Linked DNA regions of Drosophila melanogaster. The gene in region 3 interacts genetically with the main gene of each other region. Each region holds a gene or a part of one and is shown on either strand. Other genes may lie near its edges.

The links.
Region 1: of okr (region 3) and c(3)G, changing one suppresses a phenotype caused by changing the other (phenotypic suppression), as found in Drosophila melanogaster (one study listed by BioGRID).
Region 2: of okr (region 3) and Brca2, changing one suppresses a phenotype caused by changing the other (phenotypic suppression), as found in Drosophila melanogaster (one study listed by BioGRID).
Region 4: of okr (region 3) and trem, changing one suppresses a phenotype caused by changing the other (phenotypic suppression), as found in Drosophila melanogaster (one study listed by BioGRID).

The regions. Positions count from the first base shown.
Region 1 is NT_033777.3:15,788,970-15,794,530, forward strand, and holds c(3)G (crossover suppressor on 3 of gowen), read right to left. Parts: upstream 3,611-5,561; 5' UTR 3,562-3,610; intron 3,504-3,561; 5' UTR 3,474-3,503; coding exon 2,965-3,473; intron 2,910-2,964; coding exon 2,687-2,909; intron 2,616-2,686; coding exon 2,433-2,615; intron 2,380-2,432; coding exon 1,987-2,379; intron 1,924-1,986; coding exon 1,411-1,923; intron 1,346-1,410; coding exon 1,271-1,345; intron 1,216-1,270; coding exon 979-1,215; intron 921-978; coding exon 819-920; 3' UTR 504-818; downstream 1-503. Other genes in the region: Uros2 (uroporphyrinogen III synthase 2), read left to right, coding at 1-396; Acyp2 (acylphosphatase 2), read left to right, coding at 3,866-3,932, 3,988-4,004, 4,073-4,182, 4,241-4,355.
Region 2 is NT_033778.4:24,524,487-24,530,124, reverse strand, and holds Brca2 (BRCA2, DNA repair associated), read right to left. Parts: upstream 3,954-5,638; 5' UTR 3,825-3,953; coding exon 3,080-3,824; intron 3,020-3,079; coding exon 2,948-3,019; intron 2,889-2,947; coding exon 790-2,888; 3' UTR 572-789; downstream 1-571. Other genes in the region: CG4612 (uncharacterized protein), read left to right, coding at 4,653-5,351, 5,583-5,638. UniProt on the Drosophila melanogaster protein: Involved in and required for double-strand break repair by meiotic and mitotic homologous recombination. During meiosis, has a dual role in the repair of meiotic double-stranded breaks and the efficient activation of the meiotic recombination checkpoint.
Region 3 is NT_033779.5:2,989,044-2,994,410, forward strand, and holds okr (okra), read right to left. Parts: upstream 3,717-5,367; 5' UTR 3,667-3,716; coding exon 3,664-3,666; intron 3,607-3,663; coding exon 2,292-3,606; intron 2,236-2,291; coding exon 2,082-2,235; intron 2,024-2,081; coding exon 1,618-2,023; intron 1,557-1,617; coding exon 1,393-1,556; intron 1,337-1,392; coding exon 1,024-1,336; 3' UTR 551-1,023; downstream 1-550. Other genes in the region: Bem46, read left to right, coding at 1-38, 116-294, 354-468; CG3558 (uncharacterized protein), read left to right, coding at 4,692-5,365.
Region 4 is NT_033777.3:20,029,054-20,033,004, reverse strand, and holds trem (trade embargo), read left to right. Parts: upstream 1-1,695; 5' UTR 1,696-1,794; coding exon 1,795-1,941; intron 1,942-1,995; coding exon 1,996-2,756; intron 2,757-2,812; coding exon 2,813-2,947; intron 2,948-3,003; coding exon 3,004-3,114; intron 3,115-3,173; coding exon 3,174-3,339; 3' UTR 3,340-3,445; downstream 3,446-3,951. Other genes in the region: idc (identity crisis), read right to left, coding at 1-840, 895-1,065; CG4854 (uncharacterized protein), read right to left, coding at 3,607-3,805.

The DNA.
Region 1 (5,561 bases), on a different chromosome or scaffold from region 3:
GATCTGATCGTGGAGACGTTTGGACCCAAGAGGGATCTGCCACTGCTCATGCCCTGCGGCAATGGCGTGGGTCAGACACTGCGCCTCCGTTTGGTCGCCCAGGGATTCCGGGTGGATGCCTGCGAAGTGTACGAGAGTCGGTCGCATCCGGATTTCGTCAATCAGATGCGGCACGCCCTCAAATTCAAGCGAATGGAAACGATTGTGTTCTTCGGACCCTCCAGTGTCCGCAGCTCCTTGGAGTTCTTTGGGAACTACAACGTTTCGCTTAAGGATCGCAAGCTGATAGCCGTGGGCAGTGGCACCAGGAAGGCAATGGAGGAATCTGGAATTAAGGCGGACGGAGTCGTGAATGCTGCTGACGTCGACCGCCTGATAAATATCATCAAAACATAGTTTAGTATCGATCATTTTACGTTTTGTTTTTACCAGTTTTTACTTTTGGTATGATTTCAAAATCTGTTTGGTGTCCTTTAAAGAAATGAGGACAAAAGTGTGTTATTAATTAAAGTGTTTCAACAAAGTACATGTAATGTTTTTATTACAAAAACTATAATCAAATAGATTGGATCTATTTGAACAAGATACTTCAAGATATGAGTTTTAATTTAACAATTAGATACAAAATGGGATTAAATAACATAAAGTAATCATGTTCTTAAAAATAGCTTGCCAGTTTCAGACAAGTTTTCAAAGAAGTACAGATGTTTAAATGATGATGGATCTGAATGAATTTCTAAGCTCAATATTCTTCCATTTTACTAAAAACAAAGTGTAAGAATTGATAATGTTGTCTGTATGTTCGTTGTACTGCTTAGTTATTTAGAATTCTTCAACATGTCGAACATATCAATATTATTTTGTGGCTTGATGGGCGCACATAATTTGGCACGTTTGCCGCTTAAAGAGTTGCCCACGATCTGTAATAAAAGTTCAATAATTTAATTTCGATTATAGGTGCAATTAACAAATACTCACTGGTATATCATCGCCGCTATCAAAGTCGGAGGAATATGTGGTAATTTTTTGACGACGAGCATTACGCTTTCTGGCAGTGCTTGAAAATTCGTCTGTATTTTCCGGTTGCACCTTAGTAGGAATGCTCTCAGTTCTGGTTGGCCCTTTGGAATCTTTTAGCTGTTTAATTGTGGTCACTGGTTGGTCGATCAGGCAGTTAATTCGATTCATTTTAAATTGTAGCACAGCCATTTCATTCTGTTGGGCAATTTTAAATATATAACATGAAATATAATGAGTCCGATAGACTTACGTTCTTTTCACGCTCAAGTTCAATCAATTCGGTTTCTTTTCTTTTAATTTCAAGCTCCAATTCGGATACCTTTTTCTATATAAAAATAATAAATCATTTTGTAGAAAAAAGGTTAATGAAAAAGAATTTATAAGTCTTACCATTAGGTTATCTTTCTGAGACTGTAATTCCTCGCTAAATTTAACTTTGGCCGTGGATAATTCACTCTCGATTTCCTTCTTTTCAGCCTGAAGATTGATAATAGCGCTCTTTAGCGTATCATGATCACTAATCAAATATTCCAATTTATCCTGTTGAGCCTTAAAAGCTTTATTCCTTTCTTCGAGTTCAGATTTAAGTTTTTGTATTTCAACAGCGTTTCGCTTATTTTCGCTCTCAACTTCAGTGGCCTTCATCTGCATTTGATTAGCAAGCTGCTCCTGTTGCCTTTTGAGTTCTTCTTCAAAATTATGAGTTTTTTCTTGAATTTCATTACCAAGACGCTTTATTAGCTCTTCCTGATTGCTGCGATGGGACACCATTTCTATAAGTTTTTCCTGCAGTTCGGAGACCTGCAGAAGGGTTTCTTTGTGTAGCTTCTCACTGTTGCTTTTTAGCTGAGTAAAATCAACTGAAGCCTTGTTCAAGCTCTCTTTTAACTCTTGAACAACAATCTGTCAAGGAGAATAAATAATCAAGATACAATAAAATATGAATTTAGTATTTTTCAGACCAACCTCGTAGGCATCTGCTTGATCTTTTATTTCCTGGGAGTGCTTCAATTTTGTTTCAGTCAACTCATTGATATAACTTTCGTTGATATCAGCGAGCTCGCTCAATCTCTCCGTCATTTGAGTTAGTTCATCACTTAGGGAAACATGTCTTCTTTCCTTTTCCTCAATAAGAGTCTTAAACGTATTTATCTCATTGCGAACAAGTTCGAGTTCCCTCGTTGCCTGATCAGTCAATCGTTGCTGATCCACGAACTGCAATTCACTGGCTTCTAAATCACGTTGCAGTTTCGACAAAGCTTTGTTGGCCTCTATTGGCAGCTGCTCAATGCGATCTTCAAGCTGGGCGCAGTCAAGCATCTTTGCATTTAAGTCGCTGCTTAATTGTAAAATGTTTGCCTGTGGAGAACATAATGTTATAATCTAATACAAGGAAAGCCAGTGTAACCCACCTCAAACTTTTCCTTTTGTGCAGACACATCTTCAAATTGAAGCTGTAGGTCTTCGTGGAGCTCTTTGAGATCGGTAAGTTCATGTAGAATCATAGATTTGGCCACTTCTGCTTCTTCCAAATCCTTTTTATAATTCTCGCAGGCTCCAGCTAACTCACGATTCGTTTGCTGCATATTATTCAGCTGCAAAGTGAGATACACATGTAGATATATATAAATTTATATCTATATATTTTAAAATATAGTAAACTCACCTCTTGCGCCTGCAGGGCCATCCGGGATTGAGCATCTCGGAGCTCTGAATTTTTCTTCTCAACACATACTTTAATGATTTCCAGCTCCTTGTCGTAATGTTGCTCGCAGTGGGTGTACTTTTTGTTGATTTCCGTGTACTTCTGGATGTTCTCTGCGTTCTTCTCCTGCTGCTCGATAAGATCAGTTTTCAGTTGGGTCAGCTCCAGTTCCATATTTGTCAACCTGAAAGAATAAGCTCACTGCAGGCAGGAACTGTATTGAAGAAGGAAGGTCTTACTTTTCCTTCAAGCTGATATTTTCCGATTTTTTCTTCAGCGAGTCCATGGCGATGGCTCTCATTTTCTTGCTGACCACCAAGTCTTTCTTCTTGAGATTATTTAGCGATTCGTTGTACTGCTTTATGAAGCTATGAATTATTATTCCCGTGTGGGGCGACAGCTTCTGAATATCTGCCCATAATTCTCCCTCGTTTTTGGGAGACTTTTTTAGACTTTTTGTTGAACTGTCTATGGTGGCTGCAAAAGTTTGGTCTTCCTGTGTTTTTTCCACAGCCTGAGAAGTTTGCGCTTCAATTTTTGATTGCTGAACTCTAGGAGCCACTAGCGGAGTTCTTTTTTTGGATGGCTTTTCGTTTGATCTTTCGAAAAGTTGAGTTTTTACATGATCCTTTTTCCAAACAGTTGGAATTTGGCTGTTTTTTTCTTGGGCAACTGTACCTGGTTTTGGGGCTTTCGAGTGAGCTGCATCCACTAACGGTGCTCCCGATCTTTTCTTGGCGCCCGTCATTTTGCCAGCTAAGCAGTTGTATTAGCGCAACTAATTTATAAAAGAAATAAATATATATTGTACATTACAAACGTTTTGTTTAGTTTACCTAAACTTTTACCAAGTGCGTCCTGCGTTGAAAAGCAACGGTAAACATTAGCTAGAGATGAGCTTGATGACCTACAGTATATTGTTGTTCACAAGAGGTGTGTGTACTGTCTAAATACTGACCTCACGGTATTTTCTACTGAACGCCCCTGGTTTTGCGTTGTCGCCCTGGCTACGATAACTATGTTACAATTTAATAATAATTCTATTTTGGTTGTCAACATTCAGTTTTTGCTAGCTCTATTTAGAAATTTGAGTGCTGCAAGGAATCTAAGTGGCATCAGAAATCTGATCACGACTACATAATGGCGGGATCTGGAGTTGCCAAGCAGATATTTGCCCTCGATTTCGAGATCTTTGGACGAGTGCAAGGTATGCAATGCATTTTTCTGATTCGGCTTGTTAAACAGCGTATTAAATTTTGCAGGTGTGTTCTTCCGCAAAGTAAGTACTGGGAGGCCTATATATATATCTGGAAATCAACATTTAACTTATGTACATTTTTGGCTTAGCACACGTCGCATGAGGCTAAAAGATTGGGAGTTAGGGGCTGGTGCATGAATACCCGGGATGGGACCGTCAAGGGACAACTGGAGGCTCCTATGATGAATTTAATGGAAATGTAGGTACCGCTGCACTCCACTAATTCAATCATTTAACCATCGCCCACTAATTTGAAGGAAACATTGGCTGGAGAACAACCGAATTCCCAACGCTAAGGTCTCAAAGGCTGAATTTTCGCAAATCCAGGAAATCGAGGACTATACGTTCACTTCCTTTGACATAAAACATTAAAAACGAATTATTAGCTCTTTCGTTGTCCATCCAATTCCGAAACAAAGTCTAAATAAATTACCAGGGCTGCAACTTGCGTAAGCAGGCATATCTGCATTGCTATCGACTGAGTCGATAACATTCGATAGTATGAACATAAGAAATATTACGTTTCGCAAAACTGAACCCAGTACTGAAGTACAACAATAAATAAATAATAAATTATTTAAAACAAGGCGGAAAATTATTCCGAGAATCGATAGTCGCTAGTCGAAAGTGCGCACCACTCCAGTATCTACTCGATATATTGCTATCACAGCCGATAGTTTGCAGCTCCCTGCCATAGACACTGGTCATCTCGCTCGCACACACAACAGTGGGCCGCGCCACCGCCATAGGCGGCGCACGTGCAAGAGCGAGACAACCAGCTGGGCGACAGCGCACTTTGGTCTGGCACAGAAACGAGTACAGCTTCGATACACGTCGTTTTGCCAAAAGCGTAGCAGAGCAGTCTAAGCGATGAAAAAAATAAATGAGGAAAAAAGTCCGTGAAGCGAAAACCGTAATTCCTACAGTGCGAGTCACGCCATTGTGTTTGCAAAAAATATTTGCCAATTGTGCTACGGGCAATTTTTCGGAACGGCCGAATTGTGCGTATAATGAAAAAAAATACTACTTAATTTTTAAGCAATTTACAAATTCTTGCGTGCTGCCTGCCTGCTGTCGGTGTGTTCTTGCTTGCATGTGTTAGTGAGTACGATTACTTTCGCGCTGAAAACCTTTTTCCACTGCCCTTTCGCTGGAATCTGGGCGAATATAGATAGGACACAAAGCACATATAACTGATTTTTACTGCAGAATTGATCGAGACATGTGGAATACAATAAATGAGATTGTGTAAATAACTGAATATAGTGGCGCATACAGTTGCACGTGTGTGTGTGCTAGCATGTGCGTGTGTGTGTGTAAAGGCGCGAGTTTCCGTTTGCCTAGGCTAATTGTAGTGGAAAAACTCAATAAACGGAATTACATAAAAACATGGTGGCATGATCGGCAGTTTCCCGCCGGCAGAAGATGCCCAATCTTGGAAAATTGTAATTTTCGAAAGTAACCGCAATGATTTCGTCAGTATGTAAAGTAGTCTGTCAGTCCCTGCATATGTTTGTGTGTGTGTGTTCTATACAGTTTTTTTTATTGCGCATCATGGTGTGCAATAGCGCGCTTTCT
Region 2 (5,638 bases), on a different chromosome or scaffold from region 3:
ATCCGGGCTGTACGACGAGGAGTACAACACTCTGGAGGATCTGGCCAGGGCTCCCTACCCCAGTCTGCACGACGAGTACTACAGAAGTCAGATGAAGGCGAAAACCTTCCTGCCCGAACGGCTCCGCAGGAACAGCTTGAGCTTGAACGCCACCCTGCTAAAGGCGTACCGGGATGGGCTCAATCAGAGCTACATATACATATTGTACGAGGACCGCCTGGAGCTGATCCTGATGCAGCAGTACCTGCTGAAGACGCCGCGCTTCAACATGATTCGCCAGGCCGTGGGTTTTACCCTCGAATCCTACTGCGTGTCCAACAGTCTGCCGTACTTGGCGATGACCAGTGAGTTCATGAGGCGCCTGCAGGAGCACGGGATCAGCATCAAAATGAAGGCGGACACTTTCCGGGAGCTCATCCATCAGGGAATCTATACCTTGATGCGCGATGATGAGCCGCCGGCTAAGGCATTCGACCTGGACTACTACTTTTTCGCATTTGTTTTGTGAACTGTGGGACTGATTTCGTCTCTTCTCGTTTTTTTCGCGGAACTCGTAAGTGGGCACCTTTAAGGAAGTTGGTTAGCGGGTGGCCCTTATCGGATCGTTTATTTCCTTATAAGGTGCACTTAACAAAAAACGCTTATTATGATAACTTATACAATTATTCAATCTGTCATGATGAGACCACTAATGGCATACCTTAATTAATTCAACTAAATCTCTACCCATTTCAAATCGGCCAGCGGTTTAAATATTTTGGGTATAAAGCAACGCTTACTTAATGTGTACTAATAGCGACTTCGACTCAGACCAAGTCTTCGACTCTTTTTGGGTTGCATGCAAATAGGGGACATGTCCTCCGCATCCTGTCTATTCTTTGTACAGTCCTTGGAGCGATTTAAGTCCCTGTCGGCCAGCGGAGTACTTGTCGAGGAAGGCTTGGGAGCGAATCGCTCCATAGTGGGTAAGGCGCAGGAAGTGGAAGTTTCAGTTGACAAAATGATCTTTCGCTTTCTTTTTAGTGACAGGAGGTTCCGGCGAGCTATTACGGACTTCTTGGTGGCCTGGTCCAGTGGTGATTTGCCGGCAAGTTGCGATAGTGAGGAGTGGATCTCCTGCGACCTTCTGGGTGTCCTCACCAATGGCTGGCTACACAGCGGATGCTCTTCCTTTGCAGAATGCTCCACGAAGAAGTCGTGTTTGAAATGCTCAATATCTGAGGTATTTTTTAGACTTTGTACATTGCAAAAAGTTGGCTTGTTGGCACTGTCTTCTGCCGCCGCTTCATCTACGAACTTGGCATCAATATTTCTCGATTCCTCAGAGATCACAGTTGGTTGGTTCGAGTCAGTGCTTGCATCGGCGGCTTGAAATTCACTCATGAACTGTGCAACTTTGATTTTCGTATTTTCCGAAATCACAATTCCTTTATTTGAAGCGGTACGAAAGCCGAAGAATTCGGTCTCAGATACGGTTTTAGTATTCACAGCCTTATTATTTTCAACATTTATTGAATGAATCTCATTGTTTGGAGAGGTGGGTAGAACATCAGGAAAATCGCTTGGCTGCCACCCGTTTAATTGGTCTGTAGCTTTAGACTGGGCCAGAAACATGGCTCCTCTCTTCTCCATCGCCTCGGTAATCTCAATGGCTTTGTTTGACGCTGTTCTAAAGCCGAAAAACTGTGATTCATTTAAGTCACGGCAAACTGGGTCAAGTGTGGGTTGATGCGGTTCCCGCATTGTAGTATCAACGACCACCAACTTGGAAGCTTTCGATCGCATTTCCTCTGAACTCTCTATTGATCTTTTTAAGGCTGTATCAAGTCCAACAGACGTCGGTTTGTCATTTGGCTGATGGACTAAATAATCATTTTGTTGAATTGTTTCTTTGGATTGAAACTCAGCCATAAACTCTGCAGTTTTGATTTTCATCTTCTCAGAAATCGGAATTGCCTTATTTGAGGCTGTGCGAAAGCCACAAAACTCGGGCTCTGCTATAGTATCGTTATTGAGAGGACTGAATTTTCCATTTATTTCTCCAACGTCAACTTTAGCTATTGCATTGTAGGTTTCCTTACCATCCAATATTTCGATGGGCTTGCTTGGGGCTGATTTGAATTCCGCACACTGTGTTGATTCCATTACTTGACTATGATTATCGGAGTATTCCTCAGTACGTAAGTTGCACTTGTGACTAAAGTGATATAGGCCGGATACAACTTTGTCTACAAACTCTTCGCCTTTAATTTTCATTTCTTCCGAAACCTCGATAAATTTGAAGGACTTCTTTCGAATGCCATTAAGTTGATGACTGCTTATGGTCTGACTTTTATTAGGAGTCTGCTTTTCTGGTTGCTCCTTGTCGTCCAGATTTATTGAATTGATGTTTTCTTTAGGCCCTTGAATTGCGTTTTTGGAGGTTGATGGGCCATTAGAGCACTGCATTGGTTGCCAATCATTAAAAAGAAACTCCTCAAGAAGCTCGCCGTCGTTCAATAGGTTTTCTTGCTCTGCAGCATTAGGCTGATCCAGAATAGTAGTTCCTTCGTTTTTCGTGTTAATATCACAAGATTGTTTTGAGGCTCCTCTAACCTTTGATGCATTTGAATCTTTGCTACTTTTTTGTTCTTTCTGGGAACTTGGCTCCAACTTTAACTTTTTATCGGGTATATGTTTGATTACATCTTTGGAGATCTCGGGCAGTTCCATCGGAGTTAGCCATTCACTTAGTGGTATGCCTTCTAATATGAAGTTTGTGTTCTCCTCTATGTCAACATTTTTTGCTTGCGTTTGGCCCATCAAAAGTTTCTTATTTTCAGCAATTTCGACATCAGCTTTTTTCAATGTAGAGTCTGCATCAGACCAAACATTACGTTTTCCACTTTCTATAAATAAGGGTTTATATTAATGAACTTCGCAACAACATAAATTGCATATGAATTACCCAATCGGAGGCGCGTAGTGGGAACCGATTGCATGCTATCGCCATAAATAGTGTCTGCCATAGTTCCTGGACCTACGTACATATAAAAGGAGTTACAAATGTGTTTCTTGCCATATCGATCCCACTCCCTACCTTCCTGCTCATGCTCATTTTCATAGAAAGAGGCCTCAAATGTAAATCCGCTCTGCAACAGGTCATCCCTCAAGTTCTCCAATTCAGCGTTGAAACACTCGTCACCAGAATCCTGCCTTGCTTCGGTTGGCAGATCTATTTGCGATGGGACAGGAGTCGGACCGGAAGCTGTCGCGGTCGCGGAAAAGTATTGACTGAGGTTCAAAAGGACCTCGTGTATCTTCTGTGATGAAGCATCGAAATCACAAGCCATAGATGTGAACGAAGTATTGAGATCCCTCTGCACGGAGAGGCCTGAGGAACCTCTACGCTTCTCGTTTTGAACGGCCTTGTGGCTTTTGGGATCCCTCTTCCGGCTGTAGGTTCTGATCCTTTTGTTGCGAAATCGAAACCACGGCTCCGACTCATGGCTGGGCTCATCCTCATCCTCTGCGTATGTTGGAGACGAGCAAAAGTCGCTCATGATCATCTCGACCTGGTCCTCGGGCGTGGGCTCTGCGTAGGACAAAATAAGATCCTCCACGGCGACGAAGTCGCTGTTGTCCACCGCAAGCCGCTCGTGACCCCGAGTCCGTCGAGCGATGGCGAAAGTCTGGCGATCGGCTTCGCATATTTTGGCCATTTCGTCGATAATGTTACTCCGATTTGCCGCCGCGGAAACTGTGGCGCCACGTTCGCGCGCATGGGCTCCTCTTCCTTGGGATAGCCTGTTCGGATGACTTCCCGATGCGCCATTCTGGTCCATCACGTCATCTAATTGTTTAAATGTGTTTTATTTGAAGTAAGCAAGTGTCCAATGCTTTTGTGGTTGCATTTCCAAAACAAGGGGTGCAGTGTTGGTAAGCGTTGCTTTGATGGCCATTATCCGCTAACTGTGGAGGGTGGACTTGCTAAGCAATCGGGAGCGAGAAAGTCATCGATGGTATGGCCAAGAACATGAAGGCCTCACGTATCGATGGCAGATGCATCGATGTTTTTTAACATCACTAATCACTAGTAGCGACAGTTTTTGCATAAAATACAATTAAATAATAAAGGGCCATCGCCGAAGCTGCAAAAACCAGGTTTTACACTGCTGCAATTGCTGAAGAGTCTAGTTTAGGTGCCACTCGAAAACAATACCGGAAAGTGTTACGCGAAAGCCCAGCAGAGCCCCAAAGAATCAGCCCAAAAGTGAAAGCCCCCAGAAAAAGTAAAGTACAAAAGAGCGAAAGGAAGAGCCAGAGAGGTAAAGAAAGAGAGAGCGAAGAGCGTTGAAAAGAGTCTGTGCGAGAGAAAAACGATTTTTTCAACTCCGCGAATCCTTGGTCATATTCCGTGTGCAAATCCTGGTAAGTGGGCATTCCGCTGGATTACGACTAGATTGGCCATAACGCAGATTCCCGACATCCCAGGTAAATCGGGAAGTGAAGTGAAATACTAGGACCAGGACAAGAACGCCGTCAAGATTCTCGGGCCCATCTACAGCGGTATCCAGATCCAGAGCCACGGCCACCAGGACGCAGAATCCACCTACAGCACCTACAGCACTCCACTAGCCGCCACCACGCTCCACAAACAGCCAGCAGCCATTATGTTCGTCAACTCCATGACGTTCCGCGGCAATCCGGCGAACTACCACCAGCAGCAGCCGGCCCTGAACCACCACACGCTGGCAGCGGCGCACCACCAGCAGCAGCTGCACCACCACGCCGCTGCAGCTGGTCACCTGAGCCACGTCGGCGGTGGGCACGCAGCCAGTAACCACCTGGCGGCCGCCGCTGTTCTCGGACGGCATGGCCACAACTCCCTGGGCAGCGGGCACACGTCCACGTCCTCGCACTCGGCCAATGTGGGCGTGGGAGTCGGCGGGGGAGCTCTGGCTAGCGGCTCCACTGGGGGCAGCGGAGGCAACAGCTCTCCGGACAGTGGCAAGATCTATATCAAGAACCTGGAGCGGTCCATCGACAACAAGGCGGTGTACGACACGTTCTCGGTGTTCGGAAACATCCTAAACTGCAATGTGGCCAAAGACGAGGATGGCAATTCACGCGGCTATGGGTTTGTGCATTTCGATTCGGAGGAGGCCGCCCGAGCGGCCATCGAGAAGGTGAATGGGATGCTGTGCAATAATCAGAAGGTGCATGTGGTCAAGTTCATACCACGGCGGGACCGGGAGCAGGAGAAGGCCACGCACTTCAAGAATCTGTATGTGAAGAACCTCAGCGAGGAGTTCACCGAGCAGCATTTGCGCGAGATGTTCGAGCCCTACGGCCGCATCACCAGTCACAAGGTACGTTGTTTGGTCACCTCATCTTCCCTACGGGGATGTTCGTGGGGCCGGGTGGTTGGACGACAACCATGTGGCACAGTTTTGCACTCTCTTAAGTCCTCTCTTGCGCCATTGCTGCGCATGCCCATGTAGCCACGAGGAGTTTGTGACGGCGGGGAAGATGAGGACTCCACCTGGCCCATCTGTGCTAATTTGTTTATATCATCGATTTGCTTTCTCCGATCCTTGCAGCTCATGCTGGACGAGGAGGGGCGCTCCCGGCGTTTCGGTTTCGTCGCCTACGAGAA
Region 3 (5,367 bases):
CTGTGAAGTATATACCAAATCTATTATTTAAGAATAAGGTGGGTAGTCGTCGCCGGTTGAGCCCTCTGTTTACTTTATCTCATTACCACATTATTGTTTGTTGTTTCACATGCAGTATCACTCCATGAGCAAGATAGGCAAGTGTTCGGTTCCCTTTTTGTTTATTTCGGGCCTTGCGGACAACTTAGTGCCACCGCGCATGATGCGTGCCTTGTATACCAAATGCGGCAGCGAGATAAAGCGCCTGCTCGAATTCCCCGGCGGATCGCACAACGACACTTGGATAGTGGACGGGTATGGCCGGCAATTAATCTTCACTTTCCCATTTATCCATGGGTGTGCTTGCTTTTTAGGTACTATCAGGCCATCGGTGGGTTTTTGGCCGAGCTGCAGCAACAGCCGCTCCTCAAGGCGCCGGAGAAGAGCAACGTCTGGGTGGAGCTGGAGCATAAAATTATTGATGTATAGACCCGAATACATCAAGTGTTCAATTGACTGTGTTAACACTGCGAATGGTTTAATACTTATACATATACACACGCATAATATTAATCTGTATCTGACAGGGTTTTAATCCGGACGTTGCTATACGCCAAATTGCTTTTTATGTGCAGAGAATAACGTGCTAGCGGAGATGGCTGTTGATTTTAAGTAACCAACTTAAATAACTTTGCGCTTAAGCAAGTGAATACACACTAGAATCCGAATTTCGATGTTTGCTTGTATTTGTCCTAAGCTATGTTAACCTACTACTTTGCCCGATTGGCGGCCAGTTAAGAGTATAGAAATTGATCAGTATTTCACAAAAAAGTAAACTATTTTCTGGACTGACTCCTACATTGCCAGATTAGTTTATAGAAGCCTTCACCCCTAGCACGTTAACATTTTGTGCTGGTTCCATTTTTGAAATGTTAAATTAATAACTTGTTAGGATTGCAAAGGAAGCCAGAAAAAGTTATCTTAAGTTTAGACTTAAGTGCGAAGAAAAAGGAAATTCGAGAAACAATAAACTGCAAACAATTGCTAGAATCCACGGAAGTCCTCATCGGCACTGTCATCACTGGCGGGCGTGGATGATCGTTTGCGGCTTTCTGGTTTTTCCTCTGGCTGATCTGTTGCTTCCTCCTCAGCACTCGGCACAATTTCCTGAGCCTGCGATCGGTGGTGGAAGACAAAGGACACGCACTTGCAATCCATCCAGGCCTGGGCGAGAATATTGTCAGGCAGGCCTCTGTTGTTGGAGCAATGGTACCATTGTGACAAATGCGAGGTGCAGTCCGTGTCCTCGGGCGGTGGCTTCATTTGTATATTTTGAACGCAGCGCTTACACTTGAGCCTGAAAAGATATGTTACACGATCATGATCTAAAGGGTATCCAAAGCCAGTTCTTACTTGTCGTGTGTGTCGGACAGAATGTTCGCATCAAATGTAAACAAGTCCTTCAGATCGTCGCGGGTGAAATGCTTCTCGGCCGACTCGTTGTTGTCAATGATGGTGCTCGACAGGGATTTTTTGTGCGTCTGTCGCTGCAGGATCTTCTCCTCGATGGAACCACTCTGAAAGAGATTTCTTGAGTTGAAAAAGAAAGTTCCGTGCAGAACCAATTCAGGTACTCACGGCAACGAGGCGATATATGTAACAGGGCTTCTTTTGCCCGTCACGCCACACTCTGGCCATTGCCTGCTCATCGTTGGCCGGATTCCAGTCTGGGTCAAACATGAACAGGCGGTTGGCTCCAATCAAATTCAAGCCGCAGCCGCCAGCCTTGCTGCTCAGCATGAAAAGGAAGCTGTCAGACTCCGGGTCATTGAATCGGTCAACAACCTTCGATCGCTTCTTGATGGACATGGTGCCATCAAGCCGGACAAATCCGTACTTTCGCTTCCTCGCGAGCTGCTCGAACAAGTCCAGGGTCTGTGTGTAATTGGAAATGAGAACCACCTTGTCGTTGCCCTCTGCACGTATTGCTGCCAGCATGAAATCCAGGAGCATGAACTTGCCACTTAGCTCTGGATTGAGATCCCTGGAACACAAAAGATTCATTAATAGCCATTGCTATTCGCGCGCAACAGGCGACGTACTTTGGTTTGTAATTACTAGGCAGCACATTTTGGGAGTTTTCGAATCCCTTTTCCCGCGCAGTGAGCTTCTCATATATGAGATCCGGATGACTGCAAATCTTCTTAAGCGTTGTAATGTCTGCCAGCGCCGTAAGCGAAGCCTTTTCATTGCAATCTTGAAGGGAATTGTAAATGGTAGGAATGTTGTGGTAGTATTGCCTAATGACTTACCCGCCAAACTACGTCGAACTTGATCAGACTTCAAGAAATTCGTGTATAGCTCGAGTTGAATCGCCGTCAGTTTCGCACAGATAACCATTTCAAACTTAACCGGCAGATATTTGGTTAGAATTTGATTAGTGCGACGAATGATGCACTGATCGACCAGACCTATCAGCTCCTGTGTCTTCTCTATGGCCCGTTGTCGCTCCTGTTCCGTGGAGTCAGTATTCTGGCCCCGCAGAATAGCGCTCTCGAAGTTGCGCTTAAACACGGCCGCCGTTCCCAGCATCTCCGGGTTTACAAAGTTCACCAGGCTGTAGTACTCAGTAAGATCGTTCTGGATGGGAGTGCCGGAAAGCAAGACCCGTCGCTTTGTCTTCAGTCCCATGAGAGCCTGATACGTCAGATTGTCGCTGTTCTTGAGGCGATGTCCCTCGTCGCATATCACCATTCCCACCTCGTACTTGCACAGGATCTCCGCGTAGATGCGAAATGTCTCGTAGCTGATGAGCAGAACAGGTGTCCCCAGCCGGGCAGAAGTCATGGAGAACTGCTCGAGTGCTCGGATGGTGTTCTCCTTGGTCCCGCCCTCCATGGGCAGGCAAAGGAGTCGACCGTGAAGCCACTTGGTAAACTCCTTCTCCCAGTTCTTAACCAGCGATGATGGAGACACGACAATGGCTTTGTTGATCGTCGGCTTGCACTCGGGCCCCTGCCTTAGAAGTGTCCAGACCAGCGTTACGCACTGCAGCGTCTTCCCGAGACCCATTTCGTCGGCCATGATGCATCCATTGAAGTTGCCCCGCTTTCCCTCCACACACTCGTACATGAAACGCACTCCCTCGCGCTGGTGCGGCCGCAATATGTTGCTCAGCAGCGGATCGACGACGACGTGCACCAGAACCTTGGTCGGATCCATGCCCATGCGCTCGTGTTCTGTGTAGGCGGGTGGATGGAAGAGTACCAAGGCGTTGCAGGCCATCGGATCGTGTAGGGGTCGTCGGGAAATGCAGCGCCGCACGCCCAGGACCCGTTTACCACCGTAATCCGGTACGTAATTGTCCATGGGCACCTTGAACTTCCGTGCCAGAACCTTGGCAATGGCCAACTCATACTCGCTGTTCGCCGTGAAGCGAATAGGCAGTGGGAGCTCTGATGTGTTGCTGGCATCTCGGAGGGCGCCCAGTCGTCTTCTGTCCAGTTCTTGCTCTCGCTCCAGTTCCTGCTGGCAGGATCGCTTGTTTTTCTTCAGCAGTGGCGGCGTGAAGGAGTGACGGGACTCGGGACGCAGTGGTCCACGTTGGCTGGGAGCCAGACTGCGCCGCTTTAGGAATAAATGATTAGGGAAATGGAATTAAATAAATCAAATTTTTGTATTTACCATTTCATTAAATTCAAATGGCGGTAGCGCGAACAGCTGATAGAAGCGCGGAAGTCTGGTCACACAGGCGATAAGAAATACTGGTAAGTGGAACGCTGGGATAATGAAACAGAACGCATTTAATCAAACTAATACTTGTGATCATAGCACGCTGTTTTAAAAGTGAATAGATAATTAGATAAAAATAAAACTAAAATGGAATTGCTACACCCCGATGTCAAAAATTCCCGATGTATCTCAGGTATAATCGAAACATCGATATGTTATATTGATAGCTGCTCATCGCTAACTTTCTATTTCCGTGCAGATATAATTGTAAATATTTACGCAGAATTGCTTTGGAAACACTACGAAAATAGTGCAAAATGAGGCAATAAAGTGCGGGCCGGACTGCCTTCCCTTTCTTGACTTCAAAACCCGCGCCAAAAGCGCGAATTTCGTGCTGCAAGAACGCAAATCTAGTCCGCAAATCTGCGGAAGTGTTGGTACTACCACTTAATTGTATTTGTAATTGTAATTGCCAAAGTGCCAAAAAAAAAAACGCTGCAAATGCTGCAAGCGTGAAAACCCATCTAAGAAGGGCCACTAAACAGTAATGGGTGTAGATGCACGATGCACGGAGAGCGGAAAGCAGCGGAGACGATGACGATGATCAAATCTAAATTCATCAGGTGAGCGAGCAGCAGCAGCAACAACAACCACAGTGAGTGCCCAAATAGGTGGGCACACGTACACAGGTGTGTGTGTGGCTGTGTGCGTAAGTGTGTCACTTGTTGTTCTTGGGAACATTAGAGAAAAGTAAATAGCGAATATTCAACTAAAGTGCGTCTTCTTTTAGCTTCTAAATATTTAAAAAGCGAGCAACATTGAAATACTCACCACTCACACAGTCGGACAAAAGCACAAAACGAGAGATAACAGAGCACCAGCACCACCAATTCATGCCAAACGAAACGCACACGGAGCAGTTATCAGCGGACCAGCGCCACTAAAAGCCACCGAATCGCACACACACCGCACCGACAACGATGTGGCTGCGCCAGAGCAGCGGTGGAGGCGTTGCCTCCGTCGGACACGTCGGCCCACTGCGACAGCGACCCATCGACGCTGCCACAGACTGCGATCCGCGCGCTTGCTACGACAGCTTCTGTAAGCACTGGCAGCAGGCCTTCGAGATCATCCAGCACAGTGCACCGCCCTCGCACGACGACGTGCTGGGCGTGGTCTCGCACTTGGACTACATGGTCACCCTGCTGCTCGTGGAGCTGCATCACTGCAACAAAGTCTCGCTGCCGGCGGCCGAGGCTAGTGGTCCGCCTGCGGCGCCCTGCCTGGAATTCCTGCTCAGCGAGAATCTGCTGGACAAGCTGTACGAGTGGGCCTGCACCACGGGACGGTATGCCAACGCTGTGAGGCTGGAGCAGCTGAAGCTGTACGAACTGCTCGTCAGCCACTCGCGCCACCAGCTGCTCTGCCACGAGCCCTTCCTGCGACCCCTGCTCAAGATACTGGCATCCAGCCAGGGCGAGATCTTTCCGCCCGATCTCGAGAAGCGCCTGGTGATCCTGCTGAACCAGCTGTGCGTGGTTCTTATGCAGAATGTCCACCTGCTGGACCTCTTTTTCTTCTCCGCCCAGACGCAGGTGCAGGAGCAGATATTAAATGGCAACGTGGCGCCACCCAAAAGCGGAACCACTACCAAGT
Region 4 (3,951 bases), on a different chromosome or scaffold from region 3:
GCGCGCCAGCACCTCGCCAATCGAGATGTCCTTCTCGGATTTGATGCTCATTTTGCTGCCAGCCGAATCACTGTTACCCCGCCGTACCTTAAGTGGATTGCCGCGGTCAGTTGTCTTGGAGGTACTCGATTCTACAGCCACCGAGGCCGTCGATGTAGCTGACCTGCGGGGATTCACTCTCCGCTTGGTGGCATTCCGCGCATGGATGGACGCGCGAACGCTTTTTGAGGGAACGAACTCCTCTTCGGTTGAGTTCAGATCGACTTCCGCATCATCCTCGTGGGCACTTTCGGTCAACTGATCATGCTCGACCTGGTCCAGGTATTCGATTTCGGCAGATAACTCGGACAGGGCTTGATCGGCCATCTCGTGGTCATAGCCCTGATCTGGGATGAGGTCGCCCTCGTACGTCTCATACACGTCATAAACCTCCTCGATTATGCCGTCCTCCTCCACCTGCTCGTTCTTCACGTGCACAATCCGATCCTTTTCCAGCTCAACGAGGATACCATCCTCAATCTCGTCATGGAAGACACCACCCTGCGTTTCGGCGGCATCGTCCGCCTCGGCATAGTGGCTCTCGTCCAGGTCCACATCCTCGTCTTCCTCGTCATGCTCTGGCTCCTGCTCCGCCTCATCGGGATCGACATCCGGCTCCAGCTTGGTGGCTGTCTCTGAGCCCTTTTTCTCCGGTGGTCGCTGCTCCACCTCTACGGGTCCAACGAACTGGCGCAGATGGCCGTACGATCTTTGGCAGGTCTCTCGAAACTTAAATGCCATTTTCAGCACCTTGAAGCACTTCTCGCATATCTTGTCCGGATAGTGATCGAACTGTTTGATCTGCCAAGGAAATTGCATTGTTATATGGTTCGGGGTCCAATGGGACAAACTTACGGGCACTCCGCCGCACTCGCGAATCATGTGGGTCAGATCCTTTTCCGAATCGTCGTTGAAAATGCTGGCCATGGGCTCCTTGGGCTGCTGCAGGCAAACCCGGCAAACGATCCACTTCTGCGTGCTCGTTGCCGCTGCCGCCGGACTCGCATGTGCTGCCGAGTCTCTCATTGTCGCGAATAGGAGATGGATCTCTTCCAGGAGGCTACTTACCCTCCGCTATAATATTTATAATAACACGCTCGCTGGACGAAGACGACGCCAAAAAAATAGATTGTAGTCTGGAGCGAAGTGCACGCGTTGCAATGCGAATGTCGCCACACAGGGTGACCACAGTCGACGCTAAGGGTATTCCATTCGCTACTTCAAATATTAAATATATAATTAAGAATACGAATGCATTTTGTGGGCAGTTAAATAAATCAGTAAAATTGGAATTCAAGTGTTTTACAATTTAAATATATAAAAGCTTGATTAAGCAGTTTAATACAATATTATATGTCAAGCTCATGTAAAGTTCCATCGTTCCATAAGACAGTGTGGTCATTACTGTACTGAAACAAAACTACTTTGATAGAATAGTGCTTTTCCTTTTTATTATATAAACGAACTTAAAACCATTTTCCTTCAATATTTGTAAATTGAAAATAAAATTAATAAAATGACGCGCATTTTTATATTATTTTCTACCAAAAAAAAATTATTTAAAACATTTGTTTGGTAAAAAGTGCACATACAGCTATGTACCCTGTACGCTCCATGTAGTCGTTCATAACGTGCATTCACCGTATCAACTTTGGCGGGCGCGTTTCGCTGTGAATGGCCAGTGGCCGTGGACGCTTAAATTCAGCTGTTTGAATCTTCTGCAACAACCGAAGTGATTGTTTTATCGAATTAGCCATGAAAACTGAGTCCAACGAGAAGTGGGTGGTGTGCCGCGTTTGCCTGAACAATCCCAGCGAGGGCGAGGAGCTGCTCCACGACATATTCAGCGAAACGGCAAGCACGCGACTGGACCAAATGCTGCACATTTGCGCAGGCATTCCAGTAAGTGTGAATCCTGCTTGGTTTGCCCATTTTAAATTATTCCAACCCAAACAGGTCAGCCTAGATGACAACTTCCCGGACAAGATGTGCAGCAAGTGCGTGCGCTGCCTGCGGCTCTGCTACAAGTTCCGTCTGACATGCCAGCGATCCCATCAGCACATTATGGACATGCTGGACCGGGAGGCCAGCAATGCTAACGCCGCCGGCGAAGGGGATTTGCTTAGCATCGCGGAGGACCTTTCGGTGGAGAGCGTACTGAAGTCGTGGGAGGACTACGCCAGTCAGCTGGATGGCGGCATGAAAGTGGAGGGCGAGGAGGATCAGCAACATCAGGTTATCACCTATGTCGTGGAGGATGGTGATACTGATGATACCAATATGTTCGATGTGCACGATCCCACGCAGCCGGTGCCAAATGAGATCGAGGAGGCTGAAACCTATGCTGAATACGAGGAATACGAACTGCTCACCAACGAAAACTCGCCGGAAATCGCACAGGAAAAAGGCTCCACCGGCACAGATGTTGCCACAGAGGAGCCGCCCGAAGAAGAAATTGCTGAAGACATACTCGACTCTGACGAAGATTATGACCCAACTCATGCTAAGCCGGAAAAATGCGACCGATCGGGCAGGAAGCCAGTTGCATACCACAAGAATAGCCCAAAAGTGGAAACCTTCAAAAAGAAGGTGGGCAGAAAGCCGCGCAACAAGCTGAGCACATACATCTGCGATGTGTGCGGAAATATCTATCCGACTCAGGCGCGTCTCACCGAGCACATGAAATTCCATTCTGGTGTTAAACCACACGAGTGCGAGTAGGTTTAAAAGTTGAAAGTAAATAGTAACTATGGCTAATAGGATGTTATTATAGGATCTGCGGAAGAGGCTTTGTGCAGAATCAACAGCTGGTACGGCACATGAACACTCACACGGGGAACCGACCATACAAGTGCAACTACTGTCCAGCTGCCTTCGCCGATCGATCCACGAAAACCAAACATCATAGGTGAGAAATATTCGAAACAGTTGAAAGTAAATTAAACTGACATTATTTCTCTCCAGAATTCACACTAAGGAGCGTCCCTACGTGTGCGACGTTTGCTCCAGAACGTTTACCTACTCGGACAACCTGAAGTTCCACAAGATGATTCACACGGGGGAGAAGCCGCATGTGTAAGCATCAACATATTTTACTACTTCATTATCCTGCAATAATAGCTATTCTCTTTCAGCTGTGATCTTTGTGGCAAAGGATTTGTGAAGGCCTACAAATTGCGTTTGCATCGGGAAACGCATAATAGACGTATCACCTGGAGAAATGACGCAGAAGAGAGCACCAAAGCAGAAGATGTCAAGGGGGAAACGCCGGAGTTTCTCAATGAACTCCCCAAAGAGTGACATGTTCTTTTTAGTTCTTATGCAAAGTTTAGTCTAAGTATTTAGTAAGCCGTTGTTTAAGTTCTTCCATTAAGCAAATAAATGTACACAGGATATATTTTTTTGTACAATTTGTTTTTTACTTCTTATAAAAAATTAAATAAGGAAAAATGACAAATTTTAATGGCGGTGCCCTATGGCTTAGAACTTATCCATTAATATATTGTACAATTTTCAACGAGAAACTTATTTAATTTGCACCTCAATGTTTCCTCTTAGTCACTGCAATCATTTCACCTCTTTCGTCCTTTTGTGTGACTTTTCGTGGCTGTTTTTGTGGTGCAGCTGGGAGAAGGACTTCTGGCAGTACTGGCAGCTAAATGGTCGTTCACCGGTATGGGTTTTCAGATGAACCCGGAGGACGTTGGAGTAGCCAAAGGACCTGCTGCAGAACTCGCATTTGTACGGTCGTTCGTTGGTGTGGATCCTAAAGTGTATTTAACGTTAGAAACTTCCGTGGATGTCTTAAGATTTAGATTTGAAGTAACTTTTATCAAGACTTGTTAACAATTAATTGACATTAAAGCTGATTAACAGAAATATATCTCTTTTATTCTAGTTATGACAGCCCTA